Oryctolagus cuniculus: one gene and its partners. The protein of the gene in region 2 purifies or fractionates together with the protein of the main gene of each other region. This does not show direct contact. Links are inferred from orthologs where the notes say so. Each region holds a gene or a part of one and is shown on either strand. Other genes may lie near its edges. The genes, in order: POLR1E, KPNA2 and SMARCB1.

Region 1 (3,661 bases), on a different chromosome or scaffold from region 2:
CGATCCAGCTCTCTGCTGTGGCCTGGGAAAGCAGTAGAAGATGGCCCAAGTCCTTGGGCCCCTGCACCCGCATGGGAGACCCGGAAGAAGCTCCTGGCTTCTGATTGATGCAGCTCCCTCCGTTGCAGCCATCTGGGGAGTGAACCATTGGATGGAAGACCTCTCTCTGCCTCTCCTCTCTCTGTGTAACTCTGACTTTCAAATAAATAAGAAATCTTAAAAACAAAAACAAAAACAAACTACACCTTCTAGACCACTCCAGAATCCTCTGCCCCAATGCCCTGAGCCTGGTGGGCCTTTCCCCCCAGCCCATCCTCCCAAGGCTGAGAGGCCACAGGTGAACATCTGGCTTTGAGGTGAGACCCAGGCAGCGAGATGCTTGCCGGGCTCTGGACAATGCTTGGTCTCAAGGGCTGCACGGCCACGTGTCTTGTATGGGACACCTCACCTCAGAGTTGGGGTGGCCCTCTGTCAGCTGCCACATTTAGCCGAGGCTCAAAAAATTCCTGTCAGATGATTCTAAATTTAAACTTGGCCTTCGAGCCCTGGGGAAGACACATTTGTCATGGTAGAAGAGACAGCCCATGCTCCACCTGCACCGCCTTACGGGAAAGTTATGCGGCAGTGGCAAGATCTTCTGGCCCAGCCAGAAGGAGCGCTGGGCCAACCAGGCTCTGCATCCTCAGGGTAGCTGTCAAGAAGGGGGCGTGGTGACGGATGAGAAGGGGCGGAGCTAACGGCGGGCGGGGCTCACGCGGCTCCTCCAGGGGGCGTGCCACGCACGGCTGCGTACTCGGCCGGTGCCCTGAGGCCACGCCCCTTCCGGTTCGCCGCTCAGCCCGGCAGCCGCGTGAGGACCGTCGCTGCAGAGTCGGCAGTTGTGGAAACTCCTGGGTTTGACGGCCTGACGGACGGGATGGCCGCAGATGTGTTGCCGAGTGCGACGTGGCTGTACTGTGGGGAGCCCGACGAGAGCCAGAAAGCTGTACTGGGTGAGGACTGCGGCGCTGGAGCGGGGCTCCCCTTCCGTCTCGGTACCTCTCCAGGTCTCCCTTCCCGCCCAATGCGTCAGGGCCCCCTGGCGTCTCCACCGCTGCCTGGGACTCGGCAAGGGGCATCCCGCAACCTTTCTGTCGGTACTTCCCAGCTGCATGAGGACATCTCCATCGCCCCCTCCCCAGGGCGGTGCCCGGGACGCTGCCCTCCCCTCCCCCGCCAGGTCTCCCACCTGCCCCCTTTCCCTCTCTCCGCTGGGCGCGGATTCTCCCTCCCCAGGTCTGGACCAGGCCCCTGGGTCAGCCTCATCCCCGCCGCCGTTTCCTCTTGTCTCAGCTGCCTCCGCCCCCCGCCCCGCTCGCCCCGCCAGCCTGTCCCCTCTTCTTGGACGGATGGACGCTACCCGCGTTTCTTTGCCAGCCCCATCCAGCCGTAGCTCCCTCCCACCATGCACCGTGGTCATTGTCGGGCGGTCCTCTTACAGTCCAATTCTCCAACGGGAAGCTGCAGAACCCGGGCAACATGCGCTTCACCTTGTACCAGAGCAGCGACTCCGCAAACCCCAGGAAGAGGAGTCAGCGGATCCTGGTAAGCGCTGCGGCTGCCAGTGCCCCGCTCTGCCTGCCTTAGGAGGCCCCTGGGGTGTGGGTGGATGGGAGAGGAGAAAATGGCTAGGGGCCTTTGGAAAAGCTCCGGCTCCAGCAGCTTGCGGCGTGGGGACAGGCTCCACGCAGCTCTGGGACTTCCGGTGGCGTGGTGGGCGTGCATTCACGTGTCCTGTCAGCATGTGTTATTGAACAGGCACTGCATCCCTGTGCGGTGAGTTAGGGAAACAGCCCCCTCCGACCTGGCGCCACTGGTGCTGTGGAGCAGGGCTTCGGTGCCTCTGTACACCGATAGGCCATGCCTGGCTGTGGCTGGCAGTCCTGTGCCTCAGGATGGTGCCCTAGAGAGGTGTGGAGTGGCTGCCGGGACACGCATCCATTAGACAGAGCTCTGGGCCCGGTGGGGAGGGTGCAGGGCGGAGTGAGCTCAGTGGCTTGCCAGAAGCCCCTTCTGGGGGTGGGTGCTTCAGTGCTGAGCCCTGAAAGGGGAGGGAAGGTTTGGCAGCCAAGATTTGGGGTTCCATGTGAAGCAGATAACAAGGACAAAAACGGAAGCAGGAAGGCTTGGCGGTTACAGGGAGCGAGTCAGCTGTGGCTGTGGTCCTGAGGGTTTAGAAAGAGCAGGCATGGGGGAGGTGGGCGCAGAGGATCAAGGCGGGCTTAGACTCTGGGCGAGGAGGTAGCCTGCAGAATCGCTTGGTTGCACACTGGCAAGTGCAACCTTCTCATCCGTCACCACGCCCCCTTCTTGACAGCTACCCTGAGGATGCAGAGCCTGGTTGGCCCAGAGCCCCTACTGGCTGGGCCAGAAGGTCCTGCCACTGCCGCATAACTTTCCCGTAAGGCTTCCTCCCGCTCAGCGCGGTGCAGGTGGAGCATGGGCTGTCTCTTCTGCCATGACAAATGTGTCTTCCCCAGGGCTCGAAGGCCAAGTTTAAATTTAGAGCCTCTTGCTTACGTCCTGTCCTGTGGTGCAGGCCCCCAGGAACGTCTCATACCCGTTAGAAGCTGATGCTGTCCGTGGCTTCCGCTTCTAAAGCCCTCTTGCCTTTCCCCAGGACTTCCCCAGATTACCTTGGAGCTGGGGGCGGGGGGGCTGGATCATCTCAGCCACTGTGGTTCTGGGTTAAAAGCTTTGGCAGATGTGAGAATGAGGCAAGATGCTCACTGCCTCTCAGCCTTGGTCATGAATGGGGTTTCTCCTGTGTTTTAGGCAGCTGAAACAGAGAGACTTTCCTACGTGGGAAACAATTTTGGGACTGGAGCCCTCAAGTGTAACACTCTGTGCAGGTAATGGTGTGGGGAGGATGATGGGAAGGGTGTGGTGCGGCACTGACACTGCTGTTTTTAGTCTATTTTAGGGGCAGTGGGAGAAATTGAGGTTTGCCAGGTGCCTGTGTGCTTGTACCTGGGGCTCTCTTGGAACGAATGCATGATTTATATTTGCTGAGTTTTCCTAAAATATGCATTTGTCGCATTGTTTATTTATAACTTTTTTTAAAAGATTTATTCATTTACTTATTTGAAAGTCAAAATTACAGGGGATGGGGAGAGAGGCCTGCGCTTGTGGCATAGGGGGTAAAGCTGCCGCCTGCAGTGCTGGCATCCCATATGGGCGCCGATTCGAGTCCTGGCTGCTCTACTTCTGATCCAGCTCTCTGCTGTGGCTGGGAAAGCAGTAGAAGTTGGCCCAAGTCCTTGGGCCCTGCATCCGCATGGGAGACCTGAAAGAAGCTCCTGACTCCTGGCTTTCGATCAGCGCAGCTCCGGCTATTGTGGCCAATTGGGGAGTGAACCATCAGATGGAAGACCTCTCTCTCTGCCTCTCCTCTCTCTGTGTAACTCTTTCAGATAAATAAATAAAATCTTTTAAAAGAGAGAGAGAGAGAGAGAGAGAGATATCTTCCATTTGCTAGTTCACTCCCTGAATGACCTCAACAGCCAGGGCTGGGCCAGGTCAAAGCCAGGAGCCTGGCGCTTCTTTGGGGTGTCCCAGGTGAGTGCAGGGGCCCAAGCACTTGAGCCATCCTCCACTGCTTTCCCAGGCCATTAGCAGGGAG
Region 2 (3,647 bases):
CTCAGTTTCACCTAATTTCTCAGCAGCCTAAAAGAAAAGAAAGGTCCAGTTTACTGGTTTATTCTCTGATGGTTCTATTTTAATGAAAATACACATATCAAAGCTTTCATATATCAGACAGGAATGCACATTAACAGTTTCTTTAACAATCCTAATGATAGTCTTATGTCCACTTTATATTTTTTTTGAAACTCAATGTAGCAGGTACATGAGAGAAGGTGGGAGAACCAGTCACTCATAATTTACAGATGGCGATAGACACCAGCCTTCCTTATTCTGAATCCAGCTTCAACATGTAATAATTTCCAGAACCAGATCTAGAAGTTGGTACCAATCACTACGGCAAAATGCCATGTGCCGGCAGGGTTAAATCATCCTCAGGTCAAACGAGAAAAATATAGCTAATTTCACCAAAATTTAGCATGAAATTGGGGGGTTAAATATACCTGACAAAATAAGTAGTATGAATAGCTTTCACTTCAAGACTTGACTTCAATTAAAGTCGTGTCATTCATTAATCACCTGTTACATGCCTCTTATAATCCCTAGGAAGAGTGTGGTAGAATGGGCATTTAGAGGAGTCAGTGCTGTGGCGCAATAGGCTGAGCCTACACTAGTGGCTACGGATGGAGGGGATGGCAGGTGTGTGCGCCAGTTTGTGTCTGGGCTGCTCCTCTTCCGATCCAGCTCTCTGCTATGGTCTGGGAAAGCAGTGGAAGACGTCCCAAGTCCTTGGGCCTCTGCACCCGCATGGGAGACCAGGAAGAAGCTCCTGGCTCCCAATCAACCCAGCTCCAGCCGTTGTTGCCAACTGGGAAGTGAACCAGCAGACAGAAGACCTCTCTGTCTCTCCCTTTGTTACTCTTGTCTCTCAAATAAATAAAATCTTAAAAAAAAAAAAAAAAAAAAGGGCATTTAGACTGGTAGCTAGGATACCTGCATCCTGCCTCAGAATGCCTGGATTCAGTTCCTAGCTCCACCTCCTGATTCCAGCTTCCAGTTAATGCTGATAGGCAGCAGTGATGGCTCAGGTAATCGGGTACTTGTCTGCCACCCACTTGGCAGACCTGGATTGCACGTCTGGCTCCTGGCAGGGCCCCAGGGGTTGTGCTTATTGGGGAGTGCACCACTGAAGGGAGCCTGGCTTACATAAATGGCCTTGCTGGTTCTGACTACTAATGAGTCATCTAGCTGCCCTCCCTAGTCGACACAGCAAATCAATCACCATGAAGCCCAAATTCAAACAAATGCCACCCTGTTAGGGCTTACCTGGAAGATATTTGAAATGGCATCCAGAATAACCAGAATAATTTTGGTATCCTTTGCGGTCAAGAGGTTCATCAACGGTTCTATTATACCACAGTGAACAAGGTACACAATCTGTTCAACTGTTCCGCCACTTGTATAGTTGGTTACAGCCCATACTGCTTCTTTTTGTGTCTTAAAGTCTGCCTATTAAACAAAAGGAATTGGTTTTAGTTCAGAACAGTCACACAAATGAGATTCCAAAATTTCATTTTACAGAAATAATGATTGAAACAACCAACTGGCTCTATCCAACCTTAAAGGAAAGGGATTACTGGTTATTATTTATCAATGAACTCAATGAATAGTACCCAACCACAAAAATGTTGGCCTGTAAATGCAATCATATGATTAAATCTCTAATACCTTAGAGAGAACACCAACAAGGAACGGGACCAATCCGTGATTCACAACTTGCTGTATCTGGTCCTGACGCCCAGCTGTGATGTTTGACATTGTCCACGTGGCCTCCTTCTGGATGTTAGTTTTGGGGTTAGTCAGCAGGCTGGGAAAGACGGCAAGTGCTCCCGCATCTATCACAACCTGTGTCTGTTCATCTGTCCCTGTGACAATATTCCCTATGGCTCTTAGCGCAGGAGTCTGAAAAGGAAAACAATGTTGATGCTGATTATTTTTTTTTCCAATTGCTCAAAATGTCTGTACCCTAAAAATTTGGACAAGAGGCTCTTTATGGCCTGAAATAGGCAGTATTTCAATATTTACTATCGATTGTGTCCCTTGTACTTTATATTCTAATCTTGAAGTTAACAACTTACCACAATTGGCAAATCATTAGCTCCTAGAAGCTTCACGAGTTGCGGCACAACTCCTGTCTTCACAACCATTTCAATCCGCTCATTTGGACCATCAGTGAGATAGGAAATCGCCCAGCAGGTATCTGCTAACACTTCCGGATCATCGTGATGCAGGAGACGAACTAAAGTAGGAAGAATCTGCTCAACGGCATCTAATGGGGGTGCAGGATTCTTGTTGCGACAAAGGTTTGAAAGTGTCCATGTCAGATTACGTAAGTAACCGCACTAGGGGAGAAGGAAACAGCAATGAGAGATCCTGTCTTTTGAGGAAGTAGAGGGACATGCAGATGAGAAGTGAGAAACTTCACTATGCTGGTAACTTACTGCCAAAGAGGACATATCAGGAACAGCCAGAAGAGCCAACAGTGGGTCAATTGCACCATACTTGATAACCAAATCTCGGAAAACTGAACCATCACCTGCAGAAAGAAGAAGGGCAAAGCTGAGCAAACCTCCTTGACTAGCACCAGCAGCGTTCTGTGGCTGACTGCACCATGGGAAAGTCCCTGAGATGCCCTCTGGTGCCTTTGTTAGATGCCATCTTCATCCCTAACAGGGGCCTGAAGCAAGCTTAAAACTCGACACAAAGGTCACCACTACTCATAACAAAGGTCATTCTCCCAACCTCAAAAAACAAAAAGTTAAAAGTACCTGCAATGTTCCCTAGAGCCCATACAGCTTGTTCGCTGATGTGAGCATGGGGAGATGCCAACAGGGAAATGAATGCTGGGATGGCACCTCCATCCACCACCGCCTTAGTTTGTTCTGAGGTCCCAGAAGCAATGTTAGTGAGCGCCCAGGCAGATTCAAACTGAATGGGGCTACAATCAGTTCTGCCCAAGAAGGACACAAATTTTGGAATCAAACCAGCCCGGATTATGTTGTCTATAGGGGGCTGTTTTTCCCTGGAAAGCAGTTTCCTAAGGGGAAGAAAAAGAGAAATACAAGGTGAAGGTGATAAATAAGTGTGTACGTGAACCAATTTAAAATTGAATTCAAGAGCTTAGAACATGAGACAGATAAGTAAATCCTGAAGTGCTGAGACCCCAGGGAGCTTGTCTCACCCTCCCCCACCCCAAATCCCTGGCAGGGCTCCTTCATCAGTGTGACAACCTAACAGGACGAGTCTATGCTGCTGCCACGCACTTCCCCGGCTGACAGTGAGGGCGGATACCTGGCCTGTGATCACTTACCATTCTGTTTTTCTAAATCCTGTCAAGCTATAAAAACTATTAATTCTTTCTGTTATGAATACACAGCTATCTATTGTGAGAGATAAGGATCCAAATATATTTCTTTTCTAATAGTCTAAGTATTTCTTCTTTTCCTTCCAACGACTTTTGGAATGCTTTTTAAAAAGTACATGAAAAGAGGACAGGCATTGTGACACAGCAACTGGAGTCACAGACTGCAATGCCAGCATCCTGTATGGCAGTGCTGGTTCAAGTCCTGGGTGCTTCTGCTTTCAATCCAGTTCCCTGCTAACATGTCTGGGAAAGCAGCAAAAGACAGTCCAAGTACTTGGGC
Region 3 (3,307 bases), on a different chromosome or scaffold from region 2:
GGCGAGGGAGGACCTGTCAGCAGCCGGCAGTGGCACATAGCAGAGACCCATGCGCTGCCTCCAGATGCTTCCATCTTGCACACAAGGACACAAGGATGAGGGACCCCACTGGGGGAGAGCTAGGAGAAGACCCAGAGCTGTCTCTGCAGACAGCACATCAAGCCCAAGAGCCAGCAGCTGCCAGTCCTCCTCACTACAGACCCAGGGGAGAGGAGCCGGCCCAGGCCGCAGTGCCTGCCGGGTTGGAGAGGCCCCATCAGCCAGTTCTGGGTACACTGATGTTCCGGCAGTGCCACTCAGGTGCCCCTGGCCAGCTTCTCTTGATGGAGCAGAGACAGGGTGGCCCAGAGCTAGGAGAGCCCAAGGCTCCTTCCTAAGGCTGGCATGGGGGCGGGGTGTGGGGAGGAAGTTAGAAGGCCCAAGGAGAAGCAAGGATGGGCTCTGCCTCGGGCCACGTGGGGTGCTGAGGTGGCTTCCAGGGGAGCCCCCTAACCCCTGCTGTTCAGGTGGAATGGCCTGGCCGGCAGCCTCGGCCCTGCCCACTCTGCCCTTCTGAAGCACTGAACACCACGTGACCTGTTGCCTTTTATTTAAAAAGTGTTGCTAGCCCTGCCTGGGGCTCTCATACAAAAACAAAACACAACCTAAAACGAGGCTTCTTTCTGGCCCCAGACACTGGGGTAGGGGGCTAATGAGTGGGGAAACAGGACTGGGGCTCAGCAGATGCGAGGTATGGCTGGGAAGGGTGACCCAGGGGGTCCAGGCCCCTGCCCCATTCCTCCAGATGGCACCGGCTGTCCACTGCCCCTCTCCTGATCAGAAGAGGAAGGGGAGGGGTCCAATCTTCTGAGCTGCTTCGTGAAAGCTGAGCGCCAACAGGAGGGTCACCAGGCTGGGGCAGTGTTGGCCAGACGCCTCATCCGCCTGCGGGGGGAGGGGGGGGCAGGAGGGGAGCACGGTAAGCCAGGACCAATCCCAGCTGGCAAGGGTGGACGCCCAGCAGGACACCCCCAGCCCTCTCTGAGCCCCATGTCTCCAGGGACCCTGAGGCCTGGGTCTGACCTGAGAGTGTGGGTCACGGGGAAAGGAGACAGCCCTGCCTCCGCCTGGGAAGATGGGTGCCCCTGGGCAGGGCCGGGGCTGGTACCTCGTGTTCCTGTCCTGGTCGCGGATCTTCTTCTCCATCTCGGCGTCAGTCAAGGTCTCCAGCAGTGGGCACCACTGGTCAGCGTCGCCTGTGTTCCGGATGGCAATCTCCACTGTGGGCAGGGGGTTCTCGCTGGGGGAGGGGGGCAGTGACAGGAACAACTGCTAGTTCACAGCTGGCAGCCACAGTCCCCAGAAACCATCACCCCGCACCCCTCCAGCAGGCAGCCAGCCATGGAGGGAAGGCCTAGCTCTTCTGGCTTCAGCCTCCCCTGTGCTGGCCAGGGGATTCTGGCACAGCTGATGGGGCAGCCAGGGTAGCACCTATCCCCTGACCCTCAAGGGAGCTGCCAGAGTGGCCTGCAGCAACAGGGGCACTGGTACGGCCCTGCAGGCTTCCTTTTGGAGACCACTCTGCACACCTCAGCACCTCCCTGTCTGAGCGTGGAAGGGCTGTCCCGACACAGCAGCACAGAGCAGGGAGGTGCGGCTGCTCCACTCGGTGGCCAGGGCCAGATCCACTGACTGAGAACAGGAGGGGTGAGAGGAGGTGCTGGCCCCAGATGCCTGCTCCTGGGTATCCCACACACTTGCCCAGCAGTGCCACGGGGGCCACTCTACACCCCCAGGAAAGCTGGATCCAGAAACCACATTGCCTGGTCCCTCACAGACCGTTCCCTGGCCAAGTGCACACCCAGGGGGAAGTGCGGCTGAGCTGTCACCATTCTGGGCCTTGGTTTCTGAGAAACAGGAGGATAAGGAGGTGGACGCCACCGTGGACACTGAAGGGCCCCTGTGCCCTCTCCCCGGTGGCTCTGGTCTGAAAGGCAGAGCAGCTTCAGGTGCTAAGCACGCATCCTGGCTCGTGGTGCCTGCTTCATCAGGCGCCCCCCACCGCAGCCTCCCCTGGGCCCCTAGGAGGCTGCCCTGTAGACTGCAGCCCTACCAGGTGTCCCGTTAGCTTTGGGAGGGGCGAAGGTAGTAGGGCCCTAGGGAGAGGTCCCTGGCTGCTGCCTTGGTTTTCATCTGGGATATGGGAATAATAAGTATGGCTGCAAAGCAATGTTGGGGGTCACTATATTGACGCAGTCCACACACATCTGTTGAGGGCGCCCCCTAGAGGTGGGGCCTCGCCATACAGCCTCCCTGCAGCCTGTGCCCCAGGTCACCGCACCAGGTGGTCTATGGGCAGGGCCCGGCTCTTCACCACCTGGCCGGCAGGCACCAACACACTGGGGCCTGTTCCAGCCCAGCCAGAGAGGCTGGCCTGGTCTGTGCTGCTCTCTGTGGCCTGGGGGTGTCAGGGACAGTGAGCACAGGGCCTACTGCACATGTGTGCCTGACCGCTTCCTGCTGAAGCTCAGCCCACTGGGTCTGTGCCTAGGAGGCACAGAAGCCAGAGCTCATGCTGGTGACTCAGAGGCTGGGACGGGGCAGCGCCCACCCCTGACTCCCTTGGGGCTGACCCCTCCTCCGCAGCCTGGTTTGGCAATCCAGGAACGACCCAGCCACAAACCCCAAACATTACTCCCCACCTTGAGGGCGCCCAGCTGCCTGCCCCAGGAGGGCAGACATGAGAGGCGCCAAGCCCACGCAGAGGGGAGCAAAACATGTTTTCCTCGCAATTTACACAAGAGCTGGCGAGCAGGGCCCAGAGGCCCCTTTGTTTGCCTCCCCTTGACTCTGGGAAGATTCCACGTCAGCGGCCTGTTCTAAAATAAGAATGGCTCAAAACAACGCTCAGAACGGGCCTGCAGCCAGCACTCGCCGGCCTCAGGTTTGGGGGCCCACTCAGGCAGAGGCGCTGCCCTCATTTCCCAGTGATTCTAGGGGTGCAAGAGCACCCCTGCTGTGACTGCAGCTCACGGGCTATCTTCAGGTCACTGTCACTGTCAAGTTCATGACCTTGTGTGATGAACATGCAAGGCAAGAAGCACTAAGACTCCCCCTTAGAAATGAGAGAGCTAAGATTTCAAGGGAAGGGGCTGGCACTGTGGCATAGCAGGTAAAGCCACTGCCTGCAGCACTGGCATCCCACATAGGCGCAGGATCGAGTGCCGGCTGCTGCATTTCAAATCCAGTTCCCTGCTCATGGCCTAAGAAAGCAGGGGAGGATGGTCCAAGTCCTTGAGCCCCTGTACCCATGTGGGAGACTCAGAAG

The links.
Region 1: the proteins of KPNA2 (region 2) and POLR1E purify together in Homo sapiens (affinity purification with mass spectrometry; 3 studies listed by BioGRID and IntAct, with this or other methods). This does not show direct contact. The link is inferred for Oryctolagus cuniculus from reciprocal best matches to the Homo sapiens genes KPNA2 and POLR1E.
Region 3: the proteins of KPNA2 (region 2) and SMARCB1 purify together in Homo sapiens (affinity purification with mass spectrometry; 3 studies listed by BioGRID and IntAct, with this or other methods). This does not show direct contact. The link is inferred for Oryctolagus cuniculus from reciprocal best matches to the Homo sapiens genes KPNA2 and SMARCB1.

What each region holds. Positions count from the first base shown.
Region 1 is NC_091432.1:200,290,731-200,294,391, forward strand, and holds the start of POLR1E (DNA-directed RNA polymerase I subunit RPA49), read left to right. Parts: upstream 1-794; 5' UTR 795-916; coding exon 917-992; intron 993-1,480; coding exon 1,481-1,584; intron 1,585-2,814; coding exon 2,815-2,891; intron 2,892-3,661. UniProt on the Homo sapiens protein: Component of RNA polymerase I (Pol I), a DNA-dependent RNA polymerase which synthesizes ribosomal RNA precursors using the four ribonucleoside triphosphates as substrates.
Region 2 is NC_091448.1:13,981,405-13,985,051, reverse strand, and holds part of KPNA2 (importin subunit alpha-1), read right to left. Parts: intron 3,041-3,647; coding exon 2,772-3,040; intron 2,540-2,771; coding exon 2,445-2,539; intron 2,346-2,444; coding exon 2,082-2,345; intron 1,906-2,081; coding exon 1,672-1,905; intron 1,453-1,671; coding exon 1,270-1,452; intron 28-1,269; coding exon 1-27.
Region 3 is NC_091452.1:30,766,709-30,770,015, reverse strand, and holds the end of SMARCB1 (SWI/SNF-related matrix-associated actin-dependent regulator of chromatin subfamily B member 1), read right to left. Parts: intron 1,280-3,307; coding exon 1,148-1,279; intron 925-1,147; coding exon 885-924; 3' UTR 573-884; downstream 1-572.